3 linked regions of the Oryzias latipes genome follow. The protein of the gene in region 1 interacts with the protein of each later gene in a pairwise test. Links are inferred from orthologs where the notes say so. Each region holds a gene or a part of one and is shown on either strand. Other genes may lie near its edges.

Region 1 (3,496 bases):
GATCTTTGTTGGGAAGATTCCCAGGGACTTGTTTGAAGATGAGCTGGTTCCTCTCTTTGAGAAAGCTGGATCTATTTGGGACCTCAGGCTCATGATGGACCCCCTAAGCAGCCTTAACAGGGGTTATGCTTTTGTTACATTCTGCGCTAAAGAAGCAGCACAAGAGGCGGTCAAACTGGTGAGTTCATGGAGTTATTTTCAGACAAAAACTTTCATTTTCAAATTAAAATGGGCCGAACGGCCTGTTCCTGACCGTCATCCTGAAATGCCTTTTTACAGTGTAATAACTACGAGATCCGCCCCGGAAAGCACATCGGTGCGTGTATATCTGTCGCCAACAACAGGCTGTTCGTTGGCTCTATTCCCAAAAGTAAAACAAAGGAGCAGATTGTTGAAGAGTTTTCAAAAGTCACAGGTACGACCGGGGTTCCTGTCGGTACTTGAAGAACTTTCCTTAAATATAAATCTTGTGATTTATTTTGTTCTGAATCTTCTTTGTGTCCAGACGGCCTGAACGATGTGATCCTGTACCATCAGCCCGACGACAAAAAGAAGAACAGAGGCTTTTGTTTCCTGGAGTTTGAAGACCATAAAACAGCCGCTCAGGCACGGCGCAGGCTAATGAGTGGGAAGGTCAAGGTCTGGGGCATCCTGGTCACAGTGGAATGGGCTGATCCCATCGAGGATCCCGACCCAGAGGTCATGGCCAAGGTGAGCATCACCCTTTGAAAACCTGATGCTGAACTGAGAAACCCAATGCATGGAAACGCCTGCAGGCCTGTTCCTTTGCCCCCTTGGGGAAGGATGGGTTTGTTTGAATGTTATCTGGCCAAAGCGGTACTCTTCAAAAAGTGTTACTGCATGACAGAGTACTTAAAATGCTTAATGTCCTTATTTTTAACAGTCTGCAGTGCACCTCTGTTTTCACACACACAAGGAAACATATTTTACCTCTCATCGCCACGGCAACAGACTTTTTTCAGAGCAGTGCACATTATCCGTCGGGTAACTGTATTAGGATCTTCTGCTGTGAAGTACAGACAAAGCTGCGCTCGCTAGAGTAAAGCTCCACCCCCACAGCCTCACGCCTTCTCATAGGAGCCGCCCACAATCACTGGAAAGGCAATATTATTGGCTAGAGTTCAGTAAGACTGGAGAGTGATACGTGATATGAACGAAGCCCAGAAATCTGTTTTTAATGGTTCTGGTAATGCGGCACACGTTGGTACAAGGATGTCCTGACAGAAGGAAGCTGCACAGGTCTGATGGGAAAAGCGTTTCTCTATCTGTGTTGCAGGTGAAGGTTTTATTTGTGAGGAATCTCGCCAACAGCGTTACGGAGGAGATTCTTGAGAAGTCTTTCAGTGCGTTTGGAAAGCTGGAGCGAGTGAAGAAGCTGAAGGACTATGCCTTCATTCACTTTGAGGAGCGGGAAGGTGCAGTGAAGGTACACACTTTCATTCAGAACCAGAGCATTCTTTCTAAAAAACAACACAAAAGAATGGACCTAAAACTGACCAAACCTTCATTTAGGCCTTGGATGAAATGAACGGGAAAGAACTGGAGGGAGAGCCAATCGAGATCGTCTTTGCCAAACCGCCGGATCAGAAAAGAAAAGAACGCAAGGCTCAAAGGCAGGCAGCCAAAACACAAATGTATGAGCTGTTAAATCAGCAGGAAAGCCTTCCTCCTCCACAAATACTGACTTTATGCTTCTGATTTTTTTTCCTTTCTGTCAGATATGATGATTACTACTATTACCCTCCTGCTCCCCACGCGCCCCCTGCAAGAGGCCGGGGCCGAGGAGGCAACCGGGGTGGATACGGCTACCCCTCCGACTACTACAGCTATGATGACTACTATGACTACTACGGCTATGACTATCACAACTACCGCGGCGGCTACGAAGACCCCTATTACGGCTACGAAGACTTCCAGTCCCCGAGCCGAGGGCGCGGCAGCAGCAGGGGCGCCCGTGGCGGAACTTCACCGGCTCGAGGACGCGGCAGCGCCGGCGCGCCGAGGGGCAGGCCCAGCTTCCCCCCGCATGGAGGGCCTGGACCGAGCCGCGGAGGGCGGGGAGCGAGAGGAGGCGTGCAGCCGAGAGGGCGAGGAGGGGTACGTGGTGTTCGGGGTGGCCGCGGTGGAAATGTAGGAGGAAAGCGCAAAGCTGATGGGTACAACCAGCCAGATTCCAAGCGTCGCCAGACCAATAATCAGAACTGGGGCTCTCAACCCATTGCTCAGCAACCCCTCCAAGGTGGTGATCATGCTGGTAACTATTTTGGTTACAAATCTGACAACCAGGAGTTTTATCAGGATTCTTTTGGGCAACAGTGGAAGTAAACCAGTAAGGCTTTCATAAAAGGAAAGAATTTATCCTTTCTGCCTTGTTTTTTCTCATTTAGAGACTTGATCTAATTGGCCCTCTATTCCATTTTGTTGCCAGCTTTATTTTTTTGTTTTTTCCACTCAAAAGTTAGTGACACCTGGCAGGATATCTTTATGTATATATTTTATCGATCCGCTTGGACTCGATCTAGTCACTCTCACCTGCTTCTGGCAAACTGCATTTTTTTCCTTTGTTGTTTTTGTTTTTTTAAGGTGGTCGTAAAAGATTCTTCAAATCCAACTTTTCCAACATTTTTAGATGCGAAATGTGCTGAAGCTGTCTATTTGGCTGTAGCTTAATGTATGTTTTATAGAAATTCTGATTTTAATGTTTTAACTAGTTAAAATAAAAAAGCTACCAAGCTTCTGTCTCCTAAAAATGTATTTAATAAGAGTGAAATTACAATTTGTATTGTAAAAGTAATGCGTGTCTTGTTATTGAAAAGAAAAAAAAAAAAGGACAACCGTAGTCCTCATTTTTGGGCTTTACATTTTGGCTTGTATTCTTTGCTGTTTGTCTGCTTTAATAAACATACACGCACACGTGTACAAAAACTTCAAATTGTGTCGCAAATTCATGTTTCGGCAAATTCTCTTTTCAAATTTTCTTCAAATTTAAGGCTCCATGTGGAAGAAGGTGGACTGAAGGTTTGCCATTGTTGGCCATATGCTACAGTGTCACCTTGCATGCCATCCAGTTCCAAGTCACCTTCTGTAGTCGGCATCTCAGAGCTCTGTCTGTGTAGTGGCGTACCTCATGTCCCAAAACATCTCACTAATTGGTGTCCCAAATTCACTGTCAACGCAGCGACGTCAGAACGGCCTGGGGGGGGGGGGGGGGGGGGGCACAAAAGCACAATTGGATTGTAGCCTCAGACTGAAGCTTTTCCTGGTCCCAGAAGGAACTTTGCTGTTCACAGCGTGGAAACTAAACCTGCATGTTTATCTCCAGGTTTGGCGCCGGACTTGTGTTGGGAAGCAGCGCTTTGCATGCCTCCTCCCTGTAGATCTGATTTATGCCCTCATTCCTGCTTCACCCGTGTCTCTGCCATCTCAGCCTTTCCCCGCTGCTCCCTTAAAGTTTCCCGGCCAGAAGCGGCTAGTT
Region 2 (4,389 bases), on another chromosome or scaffold:
TGTGACCTACTCACAGTGGATTTTGTAGTCCTTGTACTGCCGGTCTTCAATGGCCGTGACGTATAGAGTAGCTCTGTCAGGGAAAATGAGTCCGTCCGGCTTCTGTGAGGGAGGGGGACATGAGTGTTAGGAACACACTCAGGGGTTACATTTAAACATCTTCAATGAACCGATCATGACTGTGTTCACAGCAGAAGCTCCTTTCTAGAGCCACCAGGAGGATCTTTGAGGGATTCCCAGAATTCCAGCCGCCAACCTTTGCCGTCAGCTCAGCTTTGGTAGAAACTTTTATCATTGAAATGTCGTACTTTTGTTAAGACCATTGACTGTTTCAGAGAACTGGACTGAGTAACCCCTCCCTTCTGGCATTCCAAACAGGAAGTGACTCCAAGAAGCCAATGTCCCATAGACGTCTATAGAGAAACAGACAGCTGTTCGTCCTGTGTTCTATTGGTCAGAAGAACCGTTCTGGATCTGATGCCTTTTCCTAACAATCTATTGATAATTTAAATATTTTTTCTGTAGTTCAAACAATAAACTGACCAATCAGAAGCCTCAAAAGTAGGTTGTGTTAGAAACGTTTGACAGATTTTCGTGTAGCCCACTTTAAGTGGTAGGGGTGTGGCCTTCCAACATGCTCTCTTCTGATTGGTTGTCATAGAAACAACTTAGACCAATCATTGCTCACTGACATTGTCTGGCTTCAACATGGCAGCGTAAAAAATTTAATTTTGAACTTTTCTATCGTTTGACGTAATTCTAGGCCTGCACAAAAAAAAAAATCAAAAAACAATCAACATGGCCATATCAACTTGAGCAATCCCGCATTGCAAAGAGGGCGTAAACGTTGACACATATGCACAGTCAGACAAATGTTTAAAACACACCCAACCACAAATTATCTAGTCTGTTCTTGACCGGGTAGATGGGGGCATTTACCCGCTTACCCATCTCCTATTGACAGAACTGGCAGTACAGTTTGTTGACTTATTTTAAAAAATCTCATTATTATATCAATTATATTGTTGTTGTTGTTTGTCTGTTGCAATATTGGTGGCTAATTTTCTTCATGCCATGCAGCTCCATGTCCCGCTCCCTCAGTCCAGGTCTCACATACAGTCAGTGGTTACAGTTACTAGTTTGGAGGAAGCGCTGACGTCCAGAAGGAGACACCCACCAGCCACTTGTCGCGGGCGTAGATGACTGTGTTGAGCATGGACTCGTAGAACAGACAGTAGCCCATCCACTCCGATATGATGATGTCGACCTTGTCCACCGGCAGCTCCACCTCCTCCACCTTCCCCTTGATGATGGTCACAACTAGAGACAGAAGAGGTCAGGACCTTCCCTCCACATTCAGCGGTCAACACCGGACGGCGGTGGACTCACCGTCATCCATGTTGTTGGCCTTCACTATTTTGACGGCGTAGTCAGAAATGCTGCTGCATTCTATCTGTAACGGCAGAAGCACACGGATGAGACAAGGCGCCGCAACCGGGCGCCGCCAAGCCGAGTCCACGCCTTCCTACCCCGATGACTTTCTTGGCTCCGGCTTTAGCCGCGAACATGCAGAGGATGCCCGTCCCGCTGCCCACATCCAGCACCACCTTGTCCTTGAACAGGTGCTTGTTGTAGAACATGGAGTTGCGGTAGGTCAGGGTCCGGACCTCGTCCTTCAGCATCTCCTGCAGGAACAGAGCAGAGGGCGATTGAGGACGCGGGCACCGGGGGCCGCAGGTTTAACGGGACACGAAGGCGTACCTCGTGGATCCCAAAGTGGGCGTAGGAGTCGAAGTAGTAGTCCTTGGATGTCATGTCTTCAGCTGCAGGCTTGGCTGAGCTCTCTCCCTGAGAAACCTCAAAGGAGGAAAAACCCCATGAATGTCTGCAGATCAAAGGAGTCACGTGATCTGGAACCGCCGAGGAGCCGGTCCGGTTCCAGGCAACACAGAAGACAGAGAAACAACCGATCCGTTAACGCTGCCTCAGAGGAACAAAGGACGTGGACCCGATGCCCCATGAGACCACCGGAAGTTAGAGTTATCCTACCCCCCACCCCCACCCGGTAACGTCGGTTCGGTCGTAACAAAGCCACACGTGACGACCAACTTCCAGAACAAGGTTCTGTTGTTGGACCAGCTCAGAGACCGGGACACTCAAGAGGACGGCAGAACCGGTACCGAAGATTCTAGTCTAGTCCGGGATGAAACAGTGGGACTACCCGCTCGCCGGTTTTCCACTCCAGGCTCGACAGAAAAGCTAGTTCAGGTTTCCGGTAAACCGGCACCGCGCGGGTGGAGTGACCCACGTGGAGCTCCGTAGTGGATCACGTTGATCGAGAGTTTTAACGTAAACTCTGGCAGACTAACGTCCGGCGGATCCGAGCTCAGCATCAGCGTGTTAGCACGAGCTGCTAATTAGCCCGGCAGCTAGCACGTTAGTCTCCATGCGGTCCGAAGGCTCTGCCGGTTCCACCGCCAGCTGCGTGCCTGCCGCCCCCCCACCGTCGCTTCAGCGTCGAACCGAAAATACACACCAGACCCCACCGTAAACAAAAGCCAGTTTGAAGAGTTTAACCGTTTCCCCTGTTTTTCTCGTAAATGCGACACTGTGATGAATGAGCGGCGGCAGCATCCGGAAACTCCAGCGCTAACACCCCCTCTACACCGGCGAAGCGCCGCTCCGGAGCCTGCGGGAAAACTCGCGGACGTTTCCTCGAACACAAATGAGCGTTTTTCCCGCTCAAAGACCTCACCTCCATCCTCTCTGCTGGCGCCGCCATTTCGATCTACAGCGAAGAGTCCGTTTCTTCTTCTACTCCGTCCTTCCTTCTCTTCCTCCGTACATTTAATCTGAATCTGCGTTGAAGGCCTACACCGCCACCTACTGTACAGACGGTGGAAATACCGCTTTACCCGTGAGACATTTTTTCTGCATTTTGCCCCTTTTACCACCATCTGGGGCAGGAATCACTAACCTTCCTGAGGGTGAGGGCTATTTTATGGGCTCCACAGGACCTGTTCACTATACATTTACCAACGTTTTCCCAAAATAAACTATAAAAAAATGCTACAAACACTTTAAAAAGACAATTTATGAATCCACTGGGTAATGATAATGAAACTGCTGGTTTATAAAAAAAATGAAATAAAAATATTTTAACAAAATGTGTTAAAATATTAAAAACTGTTAAATAAAGTCTATCTATCTATCTATCTATCTATCTATCTATCTATCTATCTATCTATCTATCTATCTGTCTGTCTGTCTGTCTGTCTGTCTGTCTGTCTGTCTGTCTGTCTGTCTGTCTGTCTGTCTGTCTCTCTGTCTGTCTGTCTGTCTGTCTGTCTGTCTGTCTATCTATCTTTCTTTCTATCTTTCTATCTATCTATCCATGCTCACTGGTTTTTCGTAGAGACTTCTGGGATATTTCTAGGGCCCTGGATTTTGAAATGTAGATTTGTAGACGCACTATATAGTGAAGGGATTTGGACTCAACGATTTTCTCACTTTCACACAATTTGGCAAAAGAAAACTTTTGTTTAAGCAATTACAGTTTTTTTCAGTCGCTTTAGTACAATTGTCAGATCAGAATGAAATTCCCAAAACTATTTGTTCAATCTTCACATCATGATGTCACTTGTGCACATCATATAAGCAGTTTCTCACTTCTTTGAACAAGTTGCAATTGCTTTGGTACATCCATGCAAATGATTATGTACAATTCTCTGCTCTTTGCTACATTATCAATTGTTTATGTCATGTTGATCAAAATGTATTATATAGTTCACTGTGCAATAGTCTTACTCCTCAAAACTCCTAGTCATTAGTTCATCGTATAAGTCATTAACTGCAAAATGGTTGACCAAGTTGTCATAATGTGACAATCATATTTCGCTGCATTGCAAGAGAGGATATTCGCTGTGATGTGGATGAGAATTTGTGGCCTAACATACAGGAACGACAAGAGGTGTAGGAAGACCACACCAATTCCTACTGCACTGCCTGGACTGTTGGACAGAATATTGTCCTATCTTTTTTCCCCTTTGTGTTACTGTTTGCAGTGGGTTTTTTCTATGTTGGTATGACATGGTCTGTCTACAAATTACAATATGAACAATAAAAGTGTAAATGTGAATCTTGTCCAGTCTCTTGCAATCAAAAAAAAAAGGTGTAACTTCCATTTTACAATAATTGTCATCCAAACTTTAGCCATAGTTTCCATCAGAACCTCCCTTTAAAGTACACAGTTATATTGACAACATGACTAAGTCATTTGACTGTCTTGTTCGTAGACAATGACACAAGGACTTGACATTCTGATGGCACTGACATGTTCAATGACATAAAGACTTAGTTTGGAGAGATGAACTAAAGATTTTGAGCAAG
Region 3 (4,087 bases), on another chromosome or scaffold:
CAGGAAACGCTTGTCCTCCTGTCAGAGCAAGTTTCAAAATAAAAGAGCAAAATGAAAAAATAAACCTGAAAACCCCTGAGAGCGTTTTTCACAAAAGCACAGAAGCCGAGAGTGCAACATTTAATGACGAGAATTAAAGAAAAATACAGAAGAATTACACAGTTTAGGGTCTGCAGTTACGCTTTAGGTCTCAAATTGGACGCAAAACTTCTGAAAGTTCATAAATAAAAAGAGTAAATCAAGTGTGTCAAAGGATAAAAACTGGTTTAAGCTGAGTAAAAAAAAAAACGACACGAACCTCTCCAAAGGCACCAAAGTACTCTCGGACCTTCTCCTCTGGGGTGTCTGGAGACAAACCACCAACGAAGACTTTCTTCACCGGCTCCTTGCTCTTCATGGCCTTGGCTTTTTTAGGGTCGATGACTTTTCCGTTGAGTTTATGTTCCTTCTGTGACGCCACCTTCAGAACAGAAAGCAGCAAATACATAAATAAAACTCACTAAATGACACAACAACAACAAGAAAAAAATCAAAGCTGATGTAATAATTAGAAACAGAATATAGAAGGAAAATGTTGAGGCGTGTCTCCACAGAAATCTGCTGCTCATAACAACATCAAACGTAAAGAAATATTTCAAAAGGCTGACGTGTTCACTCATGAGTTTGTCTGAAATCTTCTGAATTTATTTGATAAATAATATTATTGCTTTTTTTCGCATGAAGGAAATGACTAAGCCTCCAAAATAAAAGACGAACTTGGAGCTGAAACAGTTAAATGTTAAACTGCTTCACTGATTTATTGTCAATTCAGTGTGATTCGAACAAATATGTATTTATTTCAAAAAAGTTGTGAAACAAACTTTTTTTAAATGAGTTAAGTTAATCTGCACGTATCTGTTGATTTAAACTGAACAAAGGTGAACGTTTTATGAATAAATTCTTGAATGTTTGAAATTCTTGAAAAATAAAAAATAAAAAGCTGCTTTTTAAAAAAGTCAAAACAGAAGACAGTGCTTACAAGAAAATTTCCTTGATCTGAGAGACATTTGATTAGATCAGACTGTTTTTTTCAACACCACCCCAGTAAAAACAACATTTAGGTATTGAACAGAATCGAACCTTTTCCACACTTTCGGCGTCTTTGAAGAGCACAAAGCCGAAGCCCCTGGAGCGTCCGGTCATGGGGTCCAGCTTTAATGTGCAGTCTACCACCTCCCCGAACTTTGCAAAGTAATCTTTCAGGTCTTTCTTCGTGGTGTCCCAGCTCAGGCCTCCAACAAACATCTTCCTGCCAGCAAAAAAACATTTGGAAGGAGATCCGTGGTATAAGTTTGTGTTTGTTGTGACCCAAGTCCTAACTATAAGAATCTTTCCTCGGGTTGCTGCTGGCATTTTCATTCATAAAATATAAAACGAGTGAACAGTGTGATGAAAGAAGTGAAACAGAAAGAACTGAAGAAAGCCTCTTTGTTTTTATATGACCCCGAAGAACCCACAGGGTCAAATTTGGCAGCTTTTCCTTTTTTTTAATTTATGTTTTTATGTAAATTATGTTTTTCTATTGTGTTTTTTAGCCACAGTTAATTGCTGCTCCCCGAAACAAACAAAGAAACTTTCAAATGAACTTCAAAGACCCACTAATGAAAAAGGTGTTTGGGGTATTTTTAGCATGTTCTTGTAGCATTTTTCTGATGATGGACGACATTTATGGTAAAATTAAGCTTAGACTGTGTTTCTGAGTATTTCTTTATTCAAATCGTTGTGCATCAGGGGCAGACGAAGAGTTTGAAAAAGATCATATTTGTGATGTAGAAAAAACACGCTGGGCGGGGCCACAACCTCCCTGCTCCTCTCCATTCTAATGCATCCACTTACATACAGACTAATAGATCCATCTGCAAAGCTTTGTTTTCCTCGTCTGAGCTGGAATCTGGATCTGAATTTGTTGCCCCGCTAATGGTAGCTTGGGGTTGTGAGAAGCCATAAGCTAGCAGGAGGGCTTGTGAATAGAGACCTCTCAGTTAGGGTGATGGGGGGGGGGGGGGGTCTGTGCCAATGGTCCCGCCCACAATTTAGAGGTGAATTTCTAATAAACTCCCGCCGCTCTGCAGAAACTAAGTCTTACAAAAAGACAGGTTTTTTTTATTTAGCTAAAACGGTATAATCCTAATCAAAATAAACGCCAATACATTTTTGGAACTCACCAAACGTTGCCGCAAATATAAAACAATTTGAAAATAACTACAACAAATGTGCGTCCATGGATCAACAGTGCCGTGGATAACCGTGCAGGAGCTTTCCCGGTCATCCGAGCTGTATGTCCCAGAAGTCTCTCTGGGAGTATGTTTGTATGAAAGGCTCCCCGCGCGGATAAACTTACCCTTCATCTTCTTCGTTTTTGCTGGCGTCGATCCTTGATCCCTCGGCCTCGTCCCCCATCAGGCCGCCATCCCCCTGAGCTGACATGGGGTCGTCATTGTTAGCCTCTCCATCCTCCTCCATCCTCATCATACTCGGGTCTTCGCTAAATTCATAATCCTCAGACATCTTCACTTTTTTCTCGAAAAGATCAAATGCTAGTTCTAATGAAATGATTTTCGGAAAAAAAAAAATCAAAAGTAATTTTGAGCCAAAAAAAATTCGATTTATTTTAAGCTAACAGCCAAGATAGTTGCTAGCTGCTAACAGATAACAAATAACAAAAGCCGATGTTCAAAAACAGGACGAGGCTAGCTCAACTTATTCGAAGTTATCTCAAAATTTAAATAGATAAAGAAAACGCCTTGATCTCTAAATATAATTTTCTTTCAGTTCTAATAATTTTAAAGGATATTTTTTCATCCGATATTTTAGTTTTCTTGCCAGTCGTTTCTTGTTTGTCTACTTCTGCGAATCCCAAGTGAGCATTTGAGTGCAGAGCGCCACCTGCTGCAGCGGAGATGTAACACCAGGGTAATTTGTAAATAATTGAATATTTTACATTTTTTAAAAGGGACTTTATTCAAATGAATTGTTCTCTTATTAATAAATAAATAAAGAGATTTGTTGTTTTAGTTTTGAGCCTAATTTTCCAAGATCCAATTATCTTCATCTTAAAAATCTTTAGATACAGTTCTAAATCTAAATATGAAAGACTTTTAGTATTGGACCTTTTTTTCTCTCCAAAATAATGGAAATGGTTTTAGGAGAAACCAATCAATCAATCAATACATACATACATAAATAAATAAAAAGCATGACCAACTCTATATTTGATTGTTTTGTTTAAAAATGCTAGGCAACAAAAACAAAAATAAAATTCTGAAATTGAAATGAAAGGAAAGGAAAACTGCTCAGCAAACGAGCAACCAGAAGAAAAACTTTATCAAAATCAAAAATCATACTAACACTGACACTCATGATGGCGCATCAGGGACACCATCAAAGAAGAAAAAAAGACATATGTATGAAAATAAAGTCATACAATTATTAAATAAAGTTAAAAGTTAGGAGCATTAGTTTGTACAACATGAGAACAAAGTCATACAGTTATGAAGAAAAATCTAATTTGTGAGAAGAAAGTTGTACAATTGTGAAAAATAATTCAACAATTTTCATATATAATGATAAACAAAGGCTTCAAAAAGTTGTAAAAAAATATTACATTTAGCTTTTAAAATGTGCAAAAAAACAGTTTTATACCTGATTTATCAAGAAATCTGTTTTTGTAACTGTATTTTTATGAATTTATAACTTTTATTTGACAAAAGCATGAAAAAACGTAAGTGGTTTATCAAAAATAGATGGTAATACTTATTATTTCTTGCAAAAATTGTTCTAATGCAACATATTGTGGTCTGTATTCGAAAATCTAGTGTGCATCGATCTGGTGTTGCACACTGGTTTTTCGCAGAGACTTCTGGGAAATTTGTAGGGCACTTGATTTTGGAATTTAAATGTGAATATTGGGCCATTCGATTTCGGAATAGATGCGGACAAAATGGCAAACGCACTATAGTGAGTAGTCGTCTTGTAATTCAATAGTTTGGTACTCATCACCAATTTCTGGTTTCCCCACTAAAATAAGTTTTACGACTCAACAGCGCCA

What was found.
Region 2: the proteins of heterogeneous nuclear ribonucleoprotein Q (region 1) and prmt1 interact in binary tests that used the Homo sapiens proteins (3 or more experiments, as listed by UniProt). The link is inferred for Oryzias latipes from reciprocal best matches to the Homo sapiens genes SYNCRIP and PRMT1.
Region 3: the proteins of heterogeneous nuclear ribonucleoprotein Q (region 1) and heterogeneous nuclear ribonucleoprotein D0-like interact in binary tests that used the Homo sapiens proteins (3 or more experiments, as listed by UniProt). The link is inferred for Oryzias latipes from reciprocal best matches to the Homo sapiens genes SYNCRIP and HNRNPD.

What each region holds. Positions count from the first base shown.
Region 1 is NC_019882.2:1,562,474-1,565,969, reverse strand, and holds part of heterogeneous nuclear ribonucleoprotein Q, read left to right. Parts: intron 1-1; coding exon 2-178; intron 179-279; coding exon 280-415; intron 416-505; coding exon 506-711; intron 712-1,297; coding exon 1,298-1,447; intron 1,448-1,533; coding exon 1,534-1,655; intron 1,656-1,739; coding exon 1,740-2,346; 3' UTR 2,347-3,496. UniProt on the Homo sapiens protein: Heterogenous nuclear ribonucleoprotein (hnRNP) implicated in mRNA processing mechanisms. Component of the CRD-mediated complex that promotes MYC mRNA stability.
Region 2 is NC_019866.2:24,804,336-24,808,724, forward strand, and holds the start of prmt1 (protein arginine N-methyltransferase 1), read right to left. Parts: upstream 2,879-4,389; 5' UTR 2,783-2,878; coding exon 2,756-2,782; intron 1,858-2,755; coding exon 1,762-1,857; intron 1,686-1,761; coding exon 1,530-1,685; intron 1,454-1,529; coding exon 1,390-1,453; intron 1,321-1,389; coding exon 1,178-1,320; intron 103-1,177; coding exon 15-102; intron 1-14. UniProt on the Homo sapiens protein: Arginine methyltransferase that methylates (mono and asymmetric dimethylation) the guanidino nitrogens of arginyl residues present in proteins such as ESR1, histone H2, H3 and H4, FMR1, ILF3, HNRNPA1, HNRNPD, NFATC2IP, SUPT5H, TAF15, EWS, HABP4, SERBP1, RBM15, FOXO1, CHTOP, MAP3K5/ASK1, MICU1 and NPRL2.
Region 3 is NC_019870.2:2,825,224-2,829,310, forward strand, and holds the start of heterogeneous nuclear ribonucleoprotein D0-like, read right to left. Parts: upstream 2,909-4,087; 5' UTR 2,548-2,908; coding exon 2,381-2,547; intron 1,289-2,380; coding exon 1,120-1,288; intron 461-1,119; coding exon 299-460; intron 1-298. UniProt on the Homo sapiens protein: Binds with high affinity to RNA molecules that contain AU-rich elements (AREs) found within the 3'-UTR of many proto-oncogenes and cytokine mRNAs.